3 linked regions of the Arabidopsis thaliana genome follow. The protein of the gene in region 2 interacts with the protein of the main gene of each other region in a pairwise test. Each region holds a gene or a part of one and is shown on either strand. Other genes may lie near its edges.

The links.
Region 1: the proteins of AT1G04880 (region 2) and AGL66 come close enough for resonance energy transfer, tested with the Arabidopsis thaliana proteins (one study listed by BioGRID).
Region 3: the proteins of AT1G04880 (region 2) and AGL104 come close enough for resonance energy transfer, tested with the Arabidopsis thaliana proteins (one study listed by BioGRID).

What each region holds. Positions count from the first base shown.
Region 1 is NC_003070.9:29,313,605-29,319,577, reverse strand, and holds AGL66 (AGAMOUS-like 66), read left to right. Parts: upstream 1-2,391; 5' UTR 2,392-2,510; coding exon 2,511-2,695; intron 2,696-2,795; coding exon 2,796-2,849; intron 2,850-2,935; coding exon 2,936-2,968; intron 2,969-3,078; coding exon 3,079-3,097; intron 3,098-3,221; coding exon 3,222-3,283; intron 3,284-3,388; coding exon 3,389-3,416; intron 3,417-3,489; coding exon 3,490-3,551; intron 3,552-3,645; coding exon 3,646-3,745; intron 3,746-3,834; coding exon 3,835-4,167; intron 4,168-4,243; coding exon 4,244-4,366; 3' UTR 4,367-4,737; downstream 4,738-5,973. Other genes in the region: AST56 (STAS domain / Sulfate transporter family), read left to right, coding at 764-957, 1,076-1,170, 1,277-1,353, 1,461-1,613. UniProt on the Arabidopsis thaliana protein: Probable transcription factor that forms a heterodimer with the MADS-box protein AGL30 and is involved in the regulation of pollen maturation at the late stages of pollen development and pollen tube growth.
Region 2 is NC_003070.9:1,374,895-1,381,740, reverse strand, and holds AT1G04880 (HMG (high mobility group) box protein with ARID/BRIGHT DNA-binding domain-containing protein), read left to right. Parts: upstream 1-2,512; 5' UTR 2,513-2,648; intron 2,649-3,474; 5' UTR 3,475-3,476; coding exon 3,477-3,628; intron 3,629-3,997; coding exon 3,998-4,076; intron 4,077-4,230; coding exon 4,231-4,387; intron 4,388-4,479; coding exon 4,480-4,602; intron 4,603-4,705; coding exon 4,706-5,121; intron 5,122-5,215; coding exon 5,216-5,635; 3' UTR 5,636-5,917; downstream 5,918-6,846. Other genes in the region: AT1G04890 (zein-binding protein (Protein of unknown function, DUF593)), read left to right, coding at 1-465, 560-625; PRMT10 (protein arginine methyltransferase 10), read left to right, coding at 6,143-6,358, 6,520-6,712. UniProt on the Arabidopsis thaliana protein: Binds preferentially DNA with A/T-rich content.
Region 3 is NC_003070.9:7,810,791-7,816,161, reverse strand, and holds AGL104 (AGAMOUS-like 104), read left to right. Parts: upstream 1-1,816; 5' UTR 1,817-1,902; coding exon 1,903-2,087; intron 2,088-2,186; coding exon 2,187-2,240; intron 2,241-2,332; coding exon 2,333-2,365; intron 2,366-2,463; coding exon 2,464-2,482; intron 2,483-2,565; coding exon 2,566-2,627; intron 2,628-2,762; coding exon 2,763-2,790; intron 2,791-2,869; coding exon 2,870-2,931; intron 2,932-3,018; coding exon 3,019-3,279; intron 3,280-3,398; coding exon 3,399-3,564; intron 3,565-3,637; coding exon 3,638-3,775; 3' UTR 3,776-3,951; downstream 3,952-5,371. Other genes in the region: AT1G22140 (zinc finger CCCH domain protein), read left to right, coding at 585-668, 870-1,004. UniProt on the Arabidopsis thaliana protein: Probable transcription factor that forms heterodimers with the MADS-box proteins AGL30 and AGL65 and is involved in the regulation of pollen maturation at the late stages of pollen development and pollen tube growth.

The sequences.
Region 1 (5,973 bases), about 28 Mb from region 2:
TTTGGGATTAATGGGTATATGATTTACTACCTAATAGAATAATTCTAAATATTCGGTTCGGGTCGGTCCAGTTGGGTTTGAGTCAGTTTGGATAAAAAGTTTCAGGCCCTAAAAATACTCAAAAAAATAGAAACGGGTATTTTGTATGTAGATAGTGCGTCTCCAAACAAAAAAAACTTTTAAATTTATTAAGTTTTAATAAATTTAATTATATTTGAATATATTTTACTAAATTTTGACAAATATAACAAATAATTTTGACAAACATAACAAACATAACAAAATATACAATTTAATTTATACAAAATATTAATAGCACGGGTTATGATCTAGTTTATTAACTATATAATTGAAACTATTGTTTTTACTCAAGATTGATTGATGCCCTGAGGAAGTCAACAAAACTCTTTATATTCAATCATGTGAATTATTCCTATAGACAACAAAAGCGTCGATATCTCATATATTTTCTAACCAATAAAACTGCTATATAAAAATGCTACTAGGCCGACCAAATTCGCTGTGCATAGACAGACCCTGTACGACAAAACAATCAATAATGTATACTGTTTCATTCAAGTGGCAAATAAGTACACAAAAAATCAAATACATATGTTTAAAGTACCTTTGAAAAACTGGCTGTGAGAATGGATACTTGTGATCGATCTTTATCCTTTTGATCAGCTTAATCAGTTGTGATCTTACACTGTGAATTTTGATGGATAAGACTATGTATATAACAGAGTTATTTGTATATATGTAGGTGGGGATATCGTTTGCAAGAATAATGTTGAGTTCGATAAGACCAAGCATTGAGGCCTTAGGGAGGTTATCAAAAACAGATATCTTCGGTGACATAAATCAGTATCCAATGGCAAATAAGACTGCAGGATTATTGACTCTTCGAATCAGTTCTCCTTTGCTATGCTTTGCTAATGCCAATTTTATAAGAGACAGGTCATTAATCAATATTTATCTTCTTCTTTTTTTTTTTTTTTTGTTCAAACATCATTAGTTACTCTTGTGAAACTCTTATCAGTTTGACAAAAAAAATAAATATTTTTTCTTCTTTCAGAATATTGAATTCAGTTCAAGAAATAGAAGGAGAGGAGAATGAACAAGAAGTTCTAAAAGAAAATGGTCTTCAAGTAGTAATTCTCGACATGTCTTGTAAGCACATCCCACATTCTATCATGATATACTAATTTATAGAAAATGTTTTATTGTATATATAGTAGAGGTACTGAATCTTACATGTAACAAAATATTGGTGAAGGCGTGATGGGCGTAGATACATCAGGAGTATTTGCACTTGAAGAACTACATCAAGAGCTAGCTTCTAATGACATCCGGGTACATCTTTATTTCTCAATCAAATGTTATTCATTCACTATAGTTACATATGTGGGTTCATTGGATTTTCAAATTACCAATATTTGTTTTATGTTTGTGGGCTGCAGTTAGTCATCGCTAGTCCCAGATGGAGGGTACTTCACAAATTGAAGCGAGCAAAATTGGACGAGAAAATAAAGACAGAAAATATATATATGACAGTAGGAGAAGCCGTAGATATTTATGTAAGAGCAAGATCTACGTCCCACGAGTTGTGTTGATATATATATGTAAGAAACAGTACAACTCAAACATATAACCTAGTGATAATTTTATTGTTTTCTCATATAGCCTATAGTTTTTATTTAATGTACACCTGACTAAAAAGTACAAATTTCAATGCATAAGGCTACAAAATATTCTTCTTCTTTTTTTTCTTTTTTTCTTTTTATTTTCTTTTACATCTTTTGGTTTGGCTTACAATTTTTTTTTACATCTTTTGGTTTGGTTTACATTCCTAAGTGTTTTTTTAAGAAAAATAAATAAAATAATACAAGGATATATATAGCAGTGAATTGGAATCAGAACTTACATTGGTGTCTTGGTGAGTGAATAATCATATGAATCTTCCACTTTGAACATCATCACGAACAATTCACAATGTTTAAGCAAAAACACCTTGAGATAGTGTTTAACGGTCGGAAAATATAGCCGTTGAAGGAAAGTCAAATATTTGACCATTAAGTAGATATTGCCGAAGCCTCTCCATATGCTGAGAGAGTAGCCATTGCGAGGTAAAGAGGACTAGTTGACTTTTATGTTTTGTTTTTACAATTAATTATTGACAAAATAAACGATATATGCTGGTTAATCTGAACGTTATTAATTGATCCCAATACTCCTATATGAATTTTCTGTGGCAAAAAATAACATCATATTCTTAATTCGTTCAAAGAACAAAACCCTTTTAATCTCTCTTAATCTCTTCCATACATTTCTAACCAAATCTCTCTTATACCTAACCTCTCCTTCTTTCATGGTTCTCTTTTCTCTCGTCCGTACATCTCTCATATATATATAGGCACTTTTGCCTCCAATGATCAGATTTTCGCATTCCCTAAACCAAAATAAAGAAGAGTCTTTGAGTTTGTTGGTTGCATTGATCGGATATAAGAGACATGGGTCGAGTGAAATTGGAGATAAAACGAATAGAAAACACAACGAATCGACAAGTTACATTCTCCAAAAGACGAAATGGTCTTATAAAGAAAGCTTATGAATTGTCCATTCTTTGTGACATCGACATTGCTCTCCTCATGTTCTCTCCCTCTGATCGCCTTAGCCTCTTTTCGGGCAAAACAAGGTTTTTTGTTGTTGTTGTCTTATAACATTTTCTTTCGGTTAATTGTACAAAACATGGAAACATTCATTTGATCTATATTTATTCGTTAAACTCTTGTCAGGATTGAAGACGTTTTCTCTAGATACATCAATCTTTCTGATCAAGAACGAGAGAAGTAAGCTGACCTTTCAAGGCTTTAATAGATTCTCTAAAGATATTCCACTCATTTGTTCTTAATATTTCTCTTTCATTTTGTTTTAGTGCTCTAGTATTCCCCGATCAAAGTCGACGCCCGTATGTATCTTACTCTTATTCCGATAAATAATTAAACATATAATAACCGTATATTTATAATCATCAAAATCTAATTGAGTTTTTCATATTTTGACAACTCTATCTTGCAGAGATTTCCAGAGCAAAGAGGTATGTAATTAGATTAAGCATATTGTGCATGTGTCATGTGTGTATATATACCTAGCTCCTTTTCAATGAAGGACAATTATACATTTCAGATTATTGATCTCGAAATTTTCTTGTCACGTGACAGTATCTACTCCGGACTTTGCAGCAACTCAAGGCTGAGAATGATATTGCTCTTCAACTTACCAAGTCTCAAATTCTTTCTCTACTTTCATTATTATATAACTACGTTATTTGCAATAATTCGGAAGTTGATTTTCTTTATTTTTCTCTTATTGGATGATTTTAAAAAAGCCCTACAGCTATCAACTCCGACGTCGAGGTGAATCTTCTATTTTTTTCCTCTAGCTAATAACTTTACTTTATGTTATTTACTCTCTAATCATCAATTTTAGGAACTTGAGCATGAAGTTTATAAGTTACAACAACAACTTCTCATGGCAGAGGAAGAACTAAGGTCTTCTTTTTATAACCAAAAACACAGTGAATGTGATACAATGTATGAAAATTTATGTAACTAATACTTATATCCAAATTATATATATAATTAGGAAATACGAACCAGATCCAATCAGGTTTACAACAATGGAAGAGTACGAAACTTGTGAGAAGCAGCTCATGGACACCTTAACACGTGTCAATCAACGACGGGTCAATAATTTAAACTCCCCTTTATTTTTTTCTAAGCATAATGTATTCAACAATATCTATTAGTAACTAAATAATTTCTTGAGACGCAGGAACATATATTGAGTCAAGACCAATTATCTTCATATGAAGCATCTGCTTTACAACAACAGCAAAGCATGGGTGGGCCTTTTGGAAACGACGTCGTTGGAGGATGGCTGACTGAAAATGGGCCTAACGAAGCCCATTTATTCGACGCATCGGCACATTCAGCAATGTATGAAACTTTATTGCAAGGAAGTAGCTCAAGCTCGAACCAAAACAACATTATGGGTGAATCCAATGTGTCAAATCATAACGGTGACATGTTTCAAGAATGGGCCCAAGCCTATAATTCTACTACGGCCCATAACCCTTCGACTCTATTTCCTCCTATGCAGCATCAGGTTCTATATTTTCTCTTTTTCCGAAATAAATTAAAATTGTTTCACTAATTTTTTTTTTTGCTTTTAAATATGTTAGCATGGACTGGTGGTTGATCCCAATATAGAAGAAATTGAAATACCGGTTATGAAGAAGGATGCACAAGCAGACCACGAGGTCTCCGACTATGATATAAGAATGCCTCAGCTCAGTAGCCAATAATCTCAAGGAATTTCAATTTTACCATATATTATTGACATAATTTATACGTTTTTTCTTTTATTTTTTAGAAAAGTTAACAATATATATACGGTTTTATTTATCTATGAAGACAAGATATTACTATATATATGTTTATATAAAACACAACTTCCACACTTAAGAGTTAAGACCTTAACCTTTTATTGACTTGTATATTGTACATAACGTTTCTATTATAAAAAAAACATTTTACTGTTAAACAATGTATATACTATATATTATGTATATAAAACATGAAAAACATGTTTTGCTCTCAAATATGCATATGATTATGTCAATTTTGCTTGTCTAATTTTTTTAAAAGATCATTCAACTTTTGGTTGAGTGAAGATAATCATAATTTTGTTTGGACTTATTTAAGTATAAAACAGTTGAAAGAGAAATTTAACTTAAAACAAAAAAACAAAAAACGGAAAGAGTGATTTTTTAAAATTTTTAGTTTTTTTATTTGATATCACTAACGTACGCGGGTTTAAACGTTCTAGTGGAGACACTATGGTTAGTATTTAGAAAATTATTTTGATCTATCGAATTTTAGTGGGTGCAGTTGCTCAATACTTGTAATACATGCAAATGCATATACCTCTATATTAATCTTTTTTTTTTTTGGTAGAATAGGAGGAGACTATGTCTCTCACCAATTCATTAAAAGAGAATAAAACGCCATACGTATATACGAACATTCTATAAGTGCGCAGACCCACTAATATCCTTTAAAAAAATAAAACAAATAAAATCAGGACTAATAGTAACATATGCATTTTTCTATTTTAAAAAAAAAACACTGGTTTCCATAAATTTGTGTGATATCTGGGAAAAAAAACATAAAATATTAATTTAGGCTTTTTTCTTTTATTATAAATTTTCTAAGAACTTCAAACTCGTATGTGTTATCCACTAATTAAGATGCATTGACAAAAAAGTAGTATCTAATAAAGTCAATATATTCTATAAATAATGGACCAATCAAGAAATTTGTGAGACAATCTTATATATACTTGTGCCCCCAAAAAAAAAAAAAAAAAAAAAAAATCTTATATATACTCATAGAGATCAATTATATAACCTTACGTAGACGATGAAGTGGTATGACGTAAAAACTGTCCTCTATATATGAAAAAAAGAAAGGTTAGTAACTTAGTATGTAGAATTTGAGTTGTATGTGTTAAACAAATTCACAGAAATTTAATAGTGTGTATCAAATGTATTATTCACAATGACTACAAAATAGATTTTGCTCTTGAAGAAGGTAGTTTGAATTTGAATCTGTTATAGCTTAACGAAAAACCGTCAAAACGATGAAACGGATGATTTTTGCATTGAAAGCAATATTATTTTCAAATTTGTCCTCGAAAAAGTGGTCTTATTTCCAAATTTTATTATTTTAAGAGGATATGAGTGATGTAGAAACTTGGCAAAAGCCTTTTAATGAAACACATCCACAAAATCTAGAGAAAGCAATAGAGCTCTGACATTTGGGATTTTCACAATTCAGTGATGACTTATTTTGGTAGAATCCAATCAGAACAATGTACCAATCATTATCTCCAGATTTCTTTCCTCATATA
Region 2 (6,846 bases):
GACTGTCAAGAGAGAAGAGCTTTGCTCGTTCAGGAACTTGATGGAACGGTTCTCGATATGCCTTATAGAGAAGAAGGAAACAGAGATAAAAACAGAGATCTGTATAAATCAGATTCAGAAGTCGCGTACTCACGTGTGCGTGATGTTTATATGGTGAAGGACGAAACAGAGAACATTAGTAAGAAGAAGAATCTAGAAGAATCCTCTGTTGGCAAACCTAAAGAATCGTTGGATGAAAACAGTATCATTGTCTCGGGGATTGCTCGAAAGCTACCTCCCTTATGTCGTCCACGCAAGAAGTCGCTGAGCTCTTCGGGTTCAAGGAGAAAATCGATGTCTGCGGTTGATTATGAGAGGTTAAAGATTGAAAATGAAGTGGAATTGTTAAGAGAAAGATTAAAGGCTGTTCAAGAGGAAAGAGAGGAGCTTACGAGACGAGCATCTTTGCCTCCTTTACCATCAAAGGTTTAAAACAAGTTTCCAAAACTCTATGCTGAAAAAAATCATATTACGTAAATAGCTTTCACTGACACTTTTTTTATATTGCCGTGTTCTTCAGGTTAGGGCTACGTCAGAGAAGCGAAGTTGGACAAGATCTTGTTCCATGGATCTTCACTCTTCTTGAAGGCTGAAGCCTTTTAAATTTTATGTACTTAGACACATACATGTTTGTATGTATAGTATACAGGATTCGATTATCAGTTACGTGTTTACAGATTTTGAGCCATCTCTATGGAGAAATCTTGGATCGCAAGTCACCCTTTGGGAATGTATTTTTCTATCGTCGATCATACATACTTGCTTTTTGTTCGTTTGTATCGACAATAATTATTCGACATAGTGATTCAAATATATATTACTGCAATAAAAGTTGAAGATAACTTATTTACATGTCCTCTTATCAAATCTAAGATACATTGAAAAAGTCATGCAACAACATCCATATATAACGATTGGAAGATATTTTTGTGTTGTTGATGAAAATAGATTATATATAATGTTCATTTTAGTGTAATATCACTTTGTCTAACAATAATTTAACCTCTCTTTTTTTTTAAACGAAGCTTTTCAACTGACTGATATAAAATATAACCGTTATTGTAGTATATCAGTTGTTCAATGGATTAAATTTTGTTCTAAATGTATGTAAGCGGTGATAATGTATGTAAAAATGTATTTTACAGATTGTTGAGAATTGAAATCTTCTTCTAGGATTTGAATGATTGAATCATTCTTATGTATATGATGATATTCTCCAATACTAATTAGTTTATAAGATACAGATAAAAAATAATGTGGAGAAAATCATAAAATATCATGTCGTTTCGCTTTATTGTTAAGTATATAACCTTTTATTTCCGATTTGGTGTTTTCTTATTTTTAACCTCTATAAACGATATGGTTGAATTTGCTAAACTAGTAAAAAATATCACGAAATATGTGCCAAGTCAAACTTTTAATGTCTAAAATAAGTATTCGTTGTATCATAAACTAATTGATATCATCATATATTAAATTCCCTCTTTTTGAAATTATACTGTTACACATGTTCTTGGTAAAAGATATCCAGCGTATAATATTGTTTCTTTCCATATATTGAAAAATGAAAATCACATGAACGTGTATTTTCAGTATATAGTGAAAAAAAGGAAAGAAAATGCCACTCGTATCCTAATCCACTCCCTCACTCCTTTTTTTTTCTCATTTACATTTTAAAGATTATATACACATATATATATATTTATAATAAATACTTTTATTTTTACAACTTTCTGTTGATATTACGAATTGTTTATTTTTATAATTACTATAAATCTTACAACTTTTAATTTTTATGTAAATTTATTTATTTATTTTTAACTTAGGTTTTTAGATTTTCTGATCCACTCATAGAAAAAGTTAAAAGTCCCTTCGAGGACATCCGATAAAAAGAAAAAGCTAAAAACGAATATAATAAAATAAATAAAAAACTATCATCATATTTTATATAAAAATACAAAAACATAAAATATTTTTAAAAATATGAAAATATATAATATTATAAAGTATTGTATAAGTTTTCTTGTATGTTTCTTAATTTATTCGATAAAACCGTTAATTCAATTTATAGTTTTTAGTTGTCCGGTCCACTCGTAAATAACGGTTACAACCGAATACGACAAAATAAATATAAAATTATTGTATAAAAATAGAAAAAAATTTGTTTCAATCACATTAAACTATATTTATCAAAAAAATAATAGAATACATAAATCAATTTCAAAATATTTATAATCTGTGGTCAATCTTCAAGATCTATATTTGTATTAAAATAGAAAATTGTTTTCTTCCTTTAAATTGATATAATTTTTCTCTCTTTCTTATCTTCCTCATATTTTTGCATTATTTCTTATATAGCTCAATTCTCTCTCACCCTTTGAAAAAAATATATTAAAATTTGACCTATTTTATAGCCACCCCATCTGTTATTTATAATCTTTCATCTGGGATCCTCATTTACACAATTCATTCATTCATACACATACGCATCATTCATCAACGTACGCGTCCCTCCCATTATATTCTCTTATATGCACTCTTTCATCACCATCAAAGAGAAACCAAAGCTTTCATTTTTATGAATATTCAAGGGTGAATAGTTAGCAAAGGTGACAACTTTCTTTCATTTTCTTTTAATCTTCTCATATTATTTCATCATCACTTCTTTTTCGTCGTCTGGGCTTTTGCTGCTTCTTGTTTGTTGCTTCGCGGGAAACCCCAAAAATGGTTTCTCTGTTGTATCGTCTATCGAGAATCTATTCGTTGTTTGGTAACAGAGAATTAATGGCTTCTTTGAAGAAAGTTGTTGTTGGGCCTTGAATTTCTCAATAGATGCCTGTAATGTATTTGTTAATATGCCTCCTCGAGGGGTTTTCTTGGTTTATGTTCCTTCGAATCTCAGGCTAATATACGTTGCCGGCGCAAAAATTCCCTCTTTTTTGTCAGAGCGATAGCGAGAGAGAGAGATTGGTTGAAAAAGATGTGTCTTTGTTATGATTCCTTAAAGTATGGTTGCTTTTGTAGCACAAGTCCTTTTACATTTAATGGCAATCTGTCGTATTCAGTTTTTTGTTCTGCATAGAAGAAACAGAGGGAAGAGAAGAATTCATGGAGGGGCTTTTATAGCTTTTTCCTTGAAGCCTTTCTTGGACTTTGCAATCTCTTATTTTCTTGTTTAAGTTTTTCGTCATTTGATTCTTTGTGGATAATATTTATAAATTGAACTCCTGTGTATGTATCTTTGAGTTTCTTTGATGGAAGACGGTTAATTACACTCTGATCTGATGTGTGGAGCCTTAAAGTCTCTGACTTTTGTTTCATTAATAAGCCGGATAGATAGTAAATGCTGAAGAAGGTTTAGTGGTTGTTAAAGAGCGTAAATGATCTTAAAGTGCTTACCTTTTTGTTTTCTTTTTTGTCTTTTGGCTGTGTTAGGAATGGCATCAAGCTCTTGTCTCAAGCAAGGGTCAGTGCCAATGAACAATGTTTGTGTTACCCCTGAAGCAACGTATGAGGCTGTGGTTGCAGACCCTAGGCTTTTCATGACTTCCTTGGAAAGGCTGCACTCTCTCTTGGGTACTAAATTCATGTAAGCTTCTTTCTTCCCTTATCATATCTTACTTAGTAGAGTAAGTTCAGTTGTTATCTGCTCTGACAGAAATTTGTGTTCAGAAAGTCTCTATCTTTGAGATTTAAGCTCTTATGTTGACGATGAATCATGCTTTGTTTTTCACCTACAAAAATTTTACCAGTTACAATGCATGAGATTCTCTGTCTATATTATGGATTCCTCTTCTGTGTGTATAGTCTGACTAAAAGTAATGTTCTTTTTTGTGTAACGCATTGTTCCTTTTGCTTCTTGGGGGTAATGTATTGTAACTTTTACATATTGGATATGGATGCAATACTTTATAGCTTATAGCTTTAACCATTCTACATATTACATTGGTGATTGTAGGGTTCCGATCATAGGAGGAAGAGATTTGGACTTGCACAAGCTTTTCGTTGAGGTAACCTCACGTGGCGGAATCAATAAGGTATGTGAATGCCCTCTCAGGCTCTCAATGATAAATTAATTCCATTCTATATGTATTGTCTGTTTTCTATGTCTCATATAGTTGGTTTTGTTCTAAAATCTTGAAATCTACATTGACATTTTTCCTTGGATCATTTTCCTTCTTTGAATTGCAGATACTTAATGAAAGGAGATGGAAAGAAGTAACTGCTACATTTGTCTTTCCTCCAACTGCAACAAACGCATCATATGTTCTGCGCAAATACTACTTCTCGCTGCTGAACAATTATGAGCAAATCTATTTCTTCAGATCTAATGGTCAGATTCCTCCAGGTTTGTTCATAAAAACCTCTTTAACTATTTTACCAAATTTTCAAATATTTTTCAGTTTCTTCTCTGTTTTGTAACACACATATCTTCTGTAGACTCTATGCAGAGTCCATCTGCTAGACCATGCTTTATTCAGGGAGCCATTAGACCTTCACAAGAACTTCAAGCTCTAACCTTTACCCCACAGCCCAAGATCAATACTGCAGAATTCCTCGGAGGTCTCAACTTTTTTCTCTCTTTGCTTCTATAAATGTTCCAACTGAGAAACTGTGACTTATAAATCTGAGTAAAATCCTTTTTCCTTTGATGTTATTGTTTCAGGATCACTTGCTGGATCAAATGTGGTTGGAGTGATCGATGGAAAATTCGAAAGTGGTTACCTTGTAACTGTAACAATTGGATCAGAGCAGCTTAAAGGAGTTCTGTATCAGCTTCTTCCTCAGAACACAGTTTCTTATCAAACTCCGCAACAGAGTCATGGTGTCCTCCCGAACACTCTGAACATTTCTGCCAATCCTCAGGGGGTTGCAGGAGGAGTAACAAAACGCCGTAGGAGAAGAAAGAAATCAGAGATCAAAAGACGTGATCCTGATCATCCAAAACCCAACAGAAGTGGTTATAACTTCTTTTTCGCAGAGCAGCACGCGAGACTTAAACCGCTTCATCCTGGTAAGGATAGGGATATCAGCAGGATGATTGGTGAGCTATGGAACAAGCTGAATGAAGACGAAAAATTGGTATTTCACACACTGATCTTTGAATTCTTATCAAACTCTGTTACGTATATCGAGTTTTTGTCTCATGATCTGTTTGATTTTCTTTTATTTCTAGATTTACCAAGGGAAGGCAATGGAGGACAAAGAGCGATACAGAACTGAAATGGAAGATTACAGAGAGAAAAAAAAGAATGGACAGCTCATAAGCAACGCTGTTCCGCTGCAACAGAGACTTCCGGAGCAAAACGTAGACATGGCTGAAGCTGACCTTCCAATTGATGAAGTCGAAGAAGATGACGAAGAAGGTGATTCAAGCGGATCCTCAGGCGAAAGCGAGCCACATGATGATCAGAGCATAGAAACTGATCCTGAATTGGAAGAGCCATCTCTGAATCCCTCAGGTCCAAACCTAAACCCTAATCCGACTGAGATAGTGGTGGCTCCTAAGGAGAAAAACGGCGATGTTGTGATGGAAACATCTCCATTGAAGAAAGCCGATGAGCCAACTGTGGCGGTGACTGCTGAGCAGAACTGAAGATTCTTCTCTTGTTTCTTACTCCCCGTTGCCAGTTTCGTGTTCCATAGGTAAATGTTAGAGAGAGGAAAGGGCTTCAGATACCTTGCTTCTGGCCCAAGATTATGTCTTTTTGGTTTTTTTTTTGGTTTTTTTGGATTTTTCTTCGGAAACAAGGCAAGTTTATGGTTATAACATTTTGGCATAAGAGAATTTTTTACTTTCGTTATTAATGGGATATCCTGTAAATTGGTGATTAAAATCTGAAAGGGCCTTATAAACTTGGGCTTGGAAAGCAAATGGGCCGAAGAAGTAATCCCTGTAATATGATTTTGAAAGCGGAGGAGGGAGACTTAAAGACTTTGATTGATTGATTTATAAAAGGAACCCTAAGTTTCCGAACTTTGTCCGTCGCCGTCTGAAAACTCTGTAGCTCTCTCACTTCAGCTTTCCAATTAAAGGGAACAAAGCTTTGATTTTTGCCGCAGTCAGAAGCATTACTTTGCAAGAACAAGTGTGTAAACAAAGATGAGGAGCTCCCAAAACGGCGGCGCAATGGGTGGACGAGCTGCCGGAACCGGCGGAGGAGGACCGTCGGCTCCAGTTGACAAAGAAGTTGACTACGCTCAGTACTTCTGTACTTACTCCTTCCTATACCACCAGAAGGATATGCTCTCCGACCGTGTCCGTATGGATGCTTACTTCAACGCCGTCTTCCAGAACAAACATCACTTTGAGGGCAAGGTATAATAAAGTTCACATCTTTAAGCTTAACAAGTGTTGGAAGACTTTCTATTTGTTTGTAGTCGATGAAAGATTATCTATTGCGAAGTTGTACCCATTGGTCTCTCTGTCTTTCTTGTGGTATTAATAGTTTGAATTGTTGTTTCTGTAATGTGATGAAGACTGTTTTAGACGTGGGCACCGGGAGTGGAATTCTTGCAATTTGGTCAGCTCAAGCTGGTGCCAGGAAGGTTTATGCCGTTGAAGCTACTAAGATGGCTGATCATGCTCGTGCCCTTGTCAAAGCCAATAACCTTGACCATATTGTAGAAGTCATTGAAGGATCTGTCGAGGATATTTCATTGCCTGAGAAAGGTATTATTCACTTTCCCTTTTCTTCTCTTTCACTGCGATTAGAAAAGAGTAGTAATCAGGGTTTAACTTAGTGGCTATTGATTGAGACATTGCAATTTGGTTGAGTTGAACATGTTTCTTTTGATAATTTTTAC
Region 3 (5,371 bases), 6.4 Mb from region 2:
CTCTCCTATCGCTCGATCTCCTCTATCTCATAGTACTACTTTGCTTCATTTTTATAGAGTTTGGGAAAATCTTGTGTTTACGCCGGTGTATATTTGTAATCTATCAAATATCCTACCATTGATAATTTTATATAAAATTCACATGATAGAAAAAAACCAAGAAAGAAACGAAAAAACATACACATTGGCAAAATGACACCAATATAGCAACCGTAATGTATGATTAGACAATTTTAGGATCCTAAAGAGAGTCCATCGATTGTGATAATAGTTATGTATCATTATCATTCGAAAATCTTAATAAACTATAGTGGACCAATACAAGCACGAAGATTAAACCTCCTCCATTCAATTTCGTATTCGTTCATACTCAAAATTTAAGAAAATAACAAAAAAATGACGACCATCGGATTCAATCTTAGCTATTCATTGAAACGACGACGAAACGAGGAAAAGGAAACTTATGATGGGACAATCAATACGCTGTCGTTTAAAAAACAATAATTATCACGAAACCTATGAAGAAAAACAGATCAAAATAGAGAAATATTGAAATTCGTGCGTTGAGAGAAAAACGTTGAACGATGGGAGCCGGTAATGGAGAAACGCCAAAACCTACACAGATTTCAATTTCTAAAGATCAATTCCTCGCTTGGAAACGCCAAAAGGTATCTCTCTATCTCTTTCTCCTTTACATGTTGATTCCTAGTGAATATATCGATTTGAAGAACCCTAGATTTGATATCTCTACTCAAACGCATAATCTTTAGGAAGCCCTCGTTGTTTATTTTCATGTAATGAATCTTACATAAAGTTAATCAAAAGAATCATCATTATTGATTAACCTAAGTTTGTTGTTTACTTGTAAGGATGCTGAGTTATTAGCCAAACAAGCTGAAGCAGCAAGGAAACGACAAGAGGACATAGCTTCAGGTCGTGTTCCAATGAATGGTCGTGAGCTTTTCTTGCATGAGCCTTGGGTTTTCGACGATACTCATCATTGATTCTGGTCTATTCACTACTTCTTCATAGGTAACAGAGATCATTCGACTCTCATTAGTACTGCTACTTGCATCTGAGTTTATGAATTGGGACAATGGATCTGCAGATTGTGTGTGATCTGATGAAACCATTGTTGTGTTTTTTTGTTTCATCTCAAGAAACTAGCTAAAGAGATCTGTTACTGCATTATCTATTGATGTTGTCTATTTATGTGTGTTTCAGGTGATTTAAGACATTTCCTCGATGATTTGTGATCCAACTCTGTTTCTCTTTTGTTGTTGTACTCTCATGTTCCCACTTTTGTCTCAAGTGTTAAATCAGAAATTTAGTCCTCAGTAATTGTGACTTAATCGTTGGCTCTGATTATTTGGAAATTTGGTGGTTGAATGTTACATCCCTCAATGTTTGATATATATTCAAAGGCAAACAAAAGTCGAGACATTAACTGAAATTGTGTTAATGGGACATTTTTAGTGAAGATAGTTCATAGAGTCGACGAAAAAGACAACAAACTCTGCGCTATGATGTATCATGAGGACTATTTAGCTATCAAACTCATAAAAGTTAGCGTCTTTGATGCTTAAACAGCATATGAGTATCTCGTAATCTCATCACCGTTTATCCAAAGATTTTGATGAAAAAAGAAGAGCAAACTTAAGAAATCTCCAAAACGATATACAACGAAACGAGGCTAGAGAAGGAATATAGTCAAAAATTCTAATTTTAGTTCCTATTAACTCGCCTAATTATAAGCAGTTTTCTTCATCCTCCTTCCGTATATATTAACAAAATTATTTTCAAACAAGGATTTTTTGGATTGAAGTTTTGTAGATTACTGATCAGCATTATTATATCAACTTACGATTTGGATGAATCAAAATCTCTTCCTGCTTCGCCAATATGGGTCGGGTGAAATTAGAAATCAAGAGAATAGAGAACACAACGAATCGACAAGTTACGTTTTCAAAACGTAGAAATGGTTTGATTAAGAAAGCTTATGAATTGTCGATTCTTTGTGATATCGACATTGCTCTTATCATGTTCTCTCCTTCTGATCGCCTTAGCCTTTTCTCCGGAAAAACTCGGTATTACATCATTTAATTTACCCCTTTTTCATTAACATTTTCCATTGCTAGCTTTCTAGGTTTTGGACCATATCATATCTTAGTTCTCTGTCTCTTTAGGATTGAAGACGTTTTTTCAAGATTCATCAATCTTCCTAAACAAGAACGAGAGAGGTACGCTAAAAACTACTTTCTTTTCCAAGTTTTATAAATTACTACATTTTTAGTAAATTTTGACTTTGGTTATTTGATTTGTTTTCTTTCAGTGCTCTATACTTTCCTGACCAGAATAGACGCCCGTATGTATATCAGTTTTTCTTTTGTTACATTACACTTGATCATATGGGTATAATAAATTTTTCATGACCCTCTCTTTTCTTTTTTGGTTTGTTTGCAGAGATATTCAAAACAAAGAGGTTAGTTCTAATCATAGTGATTAGTTTGTTCCTCATTATGTTGTTTCCTTAAAGTCAAGAATAATGTTGTTGTTATGTGAAAGTGTCTACTAAGGATTCTGCAGCAACTCAAGACTGAAAATGACATCGCTCTTCAAGTCACGAAGTCCGTAAATTCCTTCGGTTTGTCGTTATAATTGATTTTATAATTTTCATATGTTTACCAAGATACACTCCTTCAAAACACATTTAAACTATACACTAAACTTTTTTTTTCTTTCATATAATTATTTTGAAAAAGCCCTGCAGCTATCAACTCTGACGTCGAGGTAATTAATCGTTATTCCATCAATTAATTAGAAGACATAGATATATTTCTAAATGTCTCGCTTGAAATCGGAAATCTAGGAACTTGAGCATGAAGTTTGTAGGTTACAACAACAACTCCAAATGGCAGAAGAAGAACTAAGGTTTTTACTCGAAAAATAAATGTTATATGTTATAGTTTATAATTTTTTTAACTCAAATCATGATTGCTTACTATATAATATGAGCAGGAGATACGAACCGGATCCAATAAGATTCACGACCATGGAGGAATACGAAGTTTCTGAGAAGCAACTTCTCGACACTCTAACACATGTTGTCCAACGGCGAGACCATCTCATGAGCAACCATTTATCTTCGTATGAAGCATCTACTATGCAACCAAACATTGGTGGTCCTTTTGTAAATGACGTCGTTGAAGGTTGGCTACCTGAAAATGGGACCAATCAAACCCATTTGTTTGATGCATCGGCCCATTCTAACCAACTCAGGTACTATAATTGTTTTTTTTTCTTTGATCAAGAAGATTTGTAAACTTTTCACATTTTTTTATAATCTTGATCAAGAAAATTCAGTAAATTTTTACTTTAAAGAAATGTAAAATTGGCAGAGAATTATCATCGGCAATGTATGAACCATTGTTGCAAGGAAGTAGCTCAAGCTCGAACCAAAACAACATGAGTGAATGCCACGTGACGAACCACAATGGTGAAATGTTCCCTGAGTGGGCTCAGGCGTATTCATCCTCGGCCTTATTCGCTTCTATGCAGCAACAGGTTTTTTTTGGTCTTTTTTTTTGTCTTTAATAACTTAAGTTAAAAATGTTGACTTTTTTGGTCAATGTGCCAGCATGAAGGTGTGGGTCCCAGTATAGAAGAGATGATGCCAGCTCAGCAGAGTGATATTCCGGGAGTGACGGCGGAGACACAAGTTGATCATGAAGTCTCCGACTATGAAACAAAGGTTCCTCAACTCAGTAGCCAATAATGTATTATTTATTTATGTATACCATTTTTAAAAATTTATTCATATTTTTTTCCAACAACCCATAAAAAAGTGAACTTTTTTTTGCCATGAGAAGACGATGAAGAGTCGTGTTATTTTTGTATACTATTCTTTTTGGCAACACCATTTTATAGTTTTATGGGCGAAAAGCAAATCAAGTTTTATCTTCTTTAATTTTCACAAAAAAAAAGAAATCTTATCTTCATTATGTTATTCTTATATGTGTTCTGTTTCTTTTTTTTTTCAAAATTACACTGCCATAGAAGTTATAGTCAGGAGAAGACAACAAAAAAGAAAAATCTGACACATAAATAACCTTTTACTACACAATTTGTTGTTAATTTGTAACGGAAAATTTTATCTTCTCAGTTTATACTAAAAACATGGCTACAGTAAAATCTCTTTAAATTAATAATATTGAGACAAAAAAAATTACTAATTTAGAGAGATATTATTTATCGATAAATTAATAAAATTGTACAAATTTTGGAAATTCTTACAATAATTCAATATAAGATGTAGTTTTTTTCTTTATAATCGATAGTATTTATGAAACCAATTACAAGTATAAAACAATTATTAAGTTTAAAAAATAATACAAATTTTTTTTGATGTTGTAAAATACTAGAATTGAATACTACAAAAAATTAATAAAATTGAAGAAAAACATTAATAGAATCATATTTTACATATGATATTTATAATAAATATTTGTAAATTTATACAATTATTAATTTATACTATTGATAGGACCATATATTTATATAAAATTTTCAAAAAAATTATTATCTTATTAATTTATCAATTTGTATCAATTTTTACATTGGTCCCAACTCTATACCGGAAAAATTTATTAATTTATCGAATAATAATTTATAGAGGTTTTACTGTATTTCGTTTCCACTTGTGTAGTTAAGACAAAAAAAAAAGAAAGAAAAACTGAATAGATATTTCTCATCAGATTTAGATTTTCTTCCTTAATTGTCTATTATCTTCCTTAATAGTCTTTTTCTATTAAGAAATAATCTTAAGATTTTTTTCCTTCCCCTGTAATCTATCCATTATAATTTTCTAAAACCGACAATATTCTATAATTTTGTTGTTGACTTGGCAGAATCTGGCAAATTTGGATTTTTGGTTGGTCTCCATATTTGCAGATTCTGTGTTGTGTCTTTGTAGATCCCATATTTCAAAAGTCAAAGAAAAATGCTTATTTTGGACCAATCTTTGCCTGGGTTACCAAAATTATAAAATTTTGCACAATATTTTATAAAATCGTTAATTTAAAGAATTTATAAAAATTTCAAGTTTATGATGTCTGAAATATAACTTCATATTTCTAAAATTTCACCAAATCTCATGAACTTTTAGAATATTGAATTAAAGTTTTCAGAAGTTTTTTTTTTTGGGGCAAATAAGTGTTGAGAAGCTAGCAATTTTGTTTTTAAAGTTAAATCTTCATCCTATGAACTTAGCAATGTCAATATTAAGATAATCTTCCATCTGTTTATTTACGAATGGATACATTTATCTTAATTTATAAAACTAAGATATACAATATATACTTTCACAAAAAGT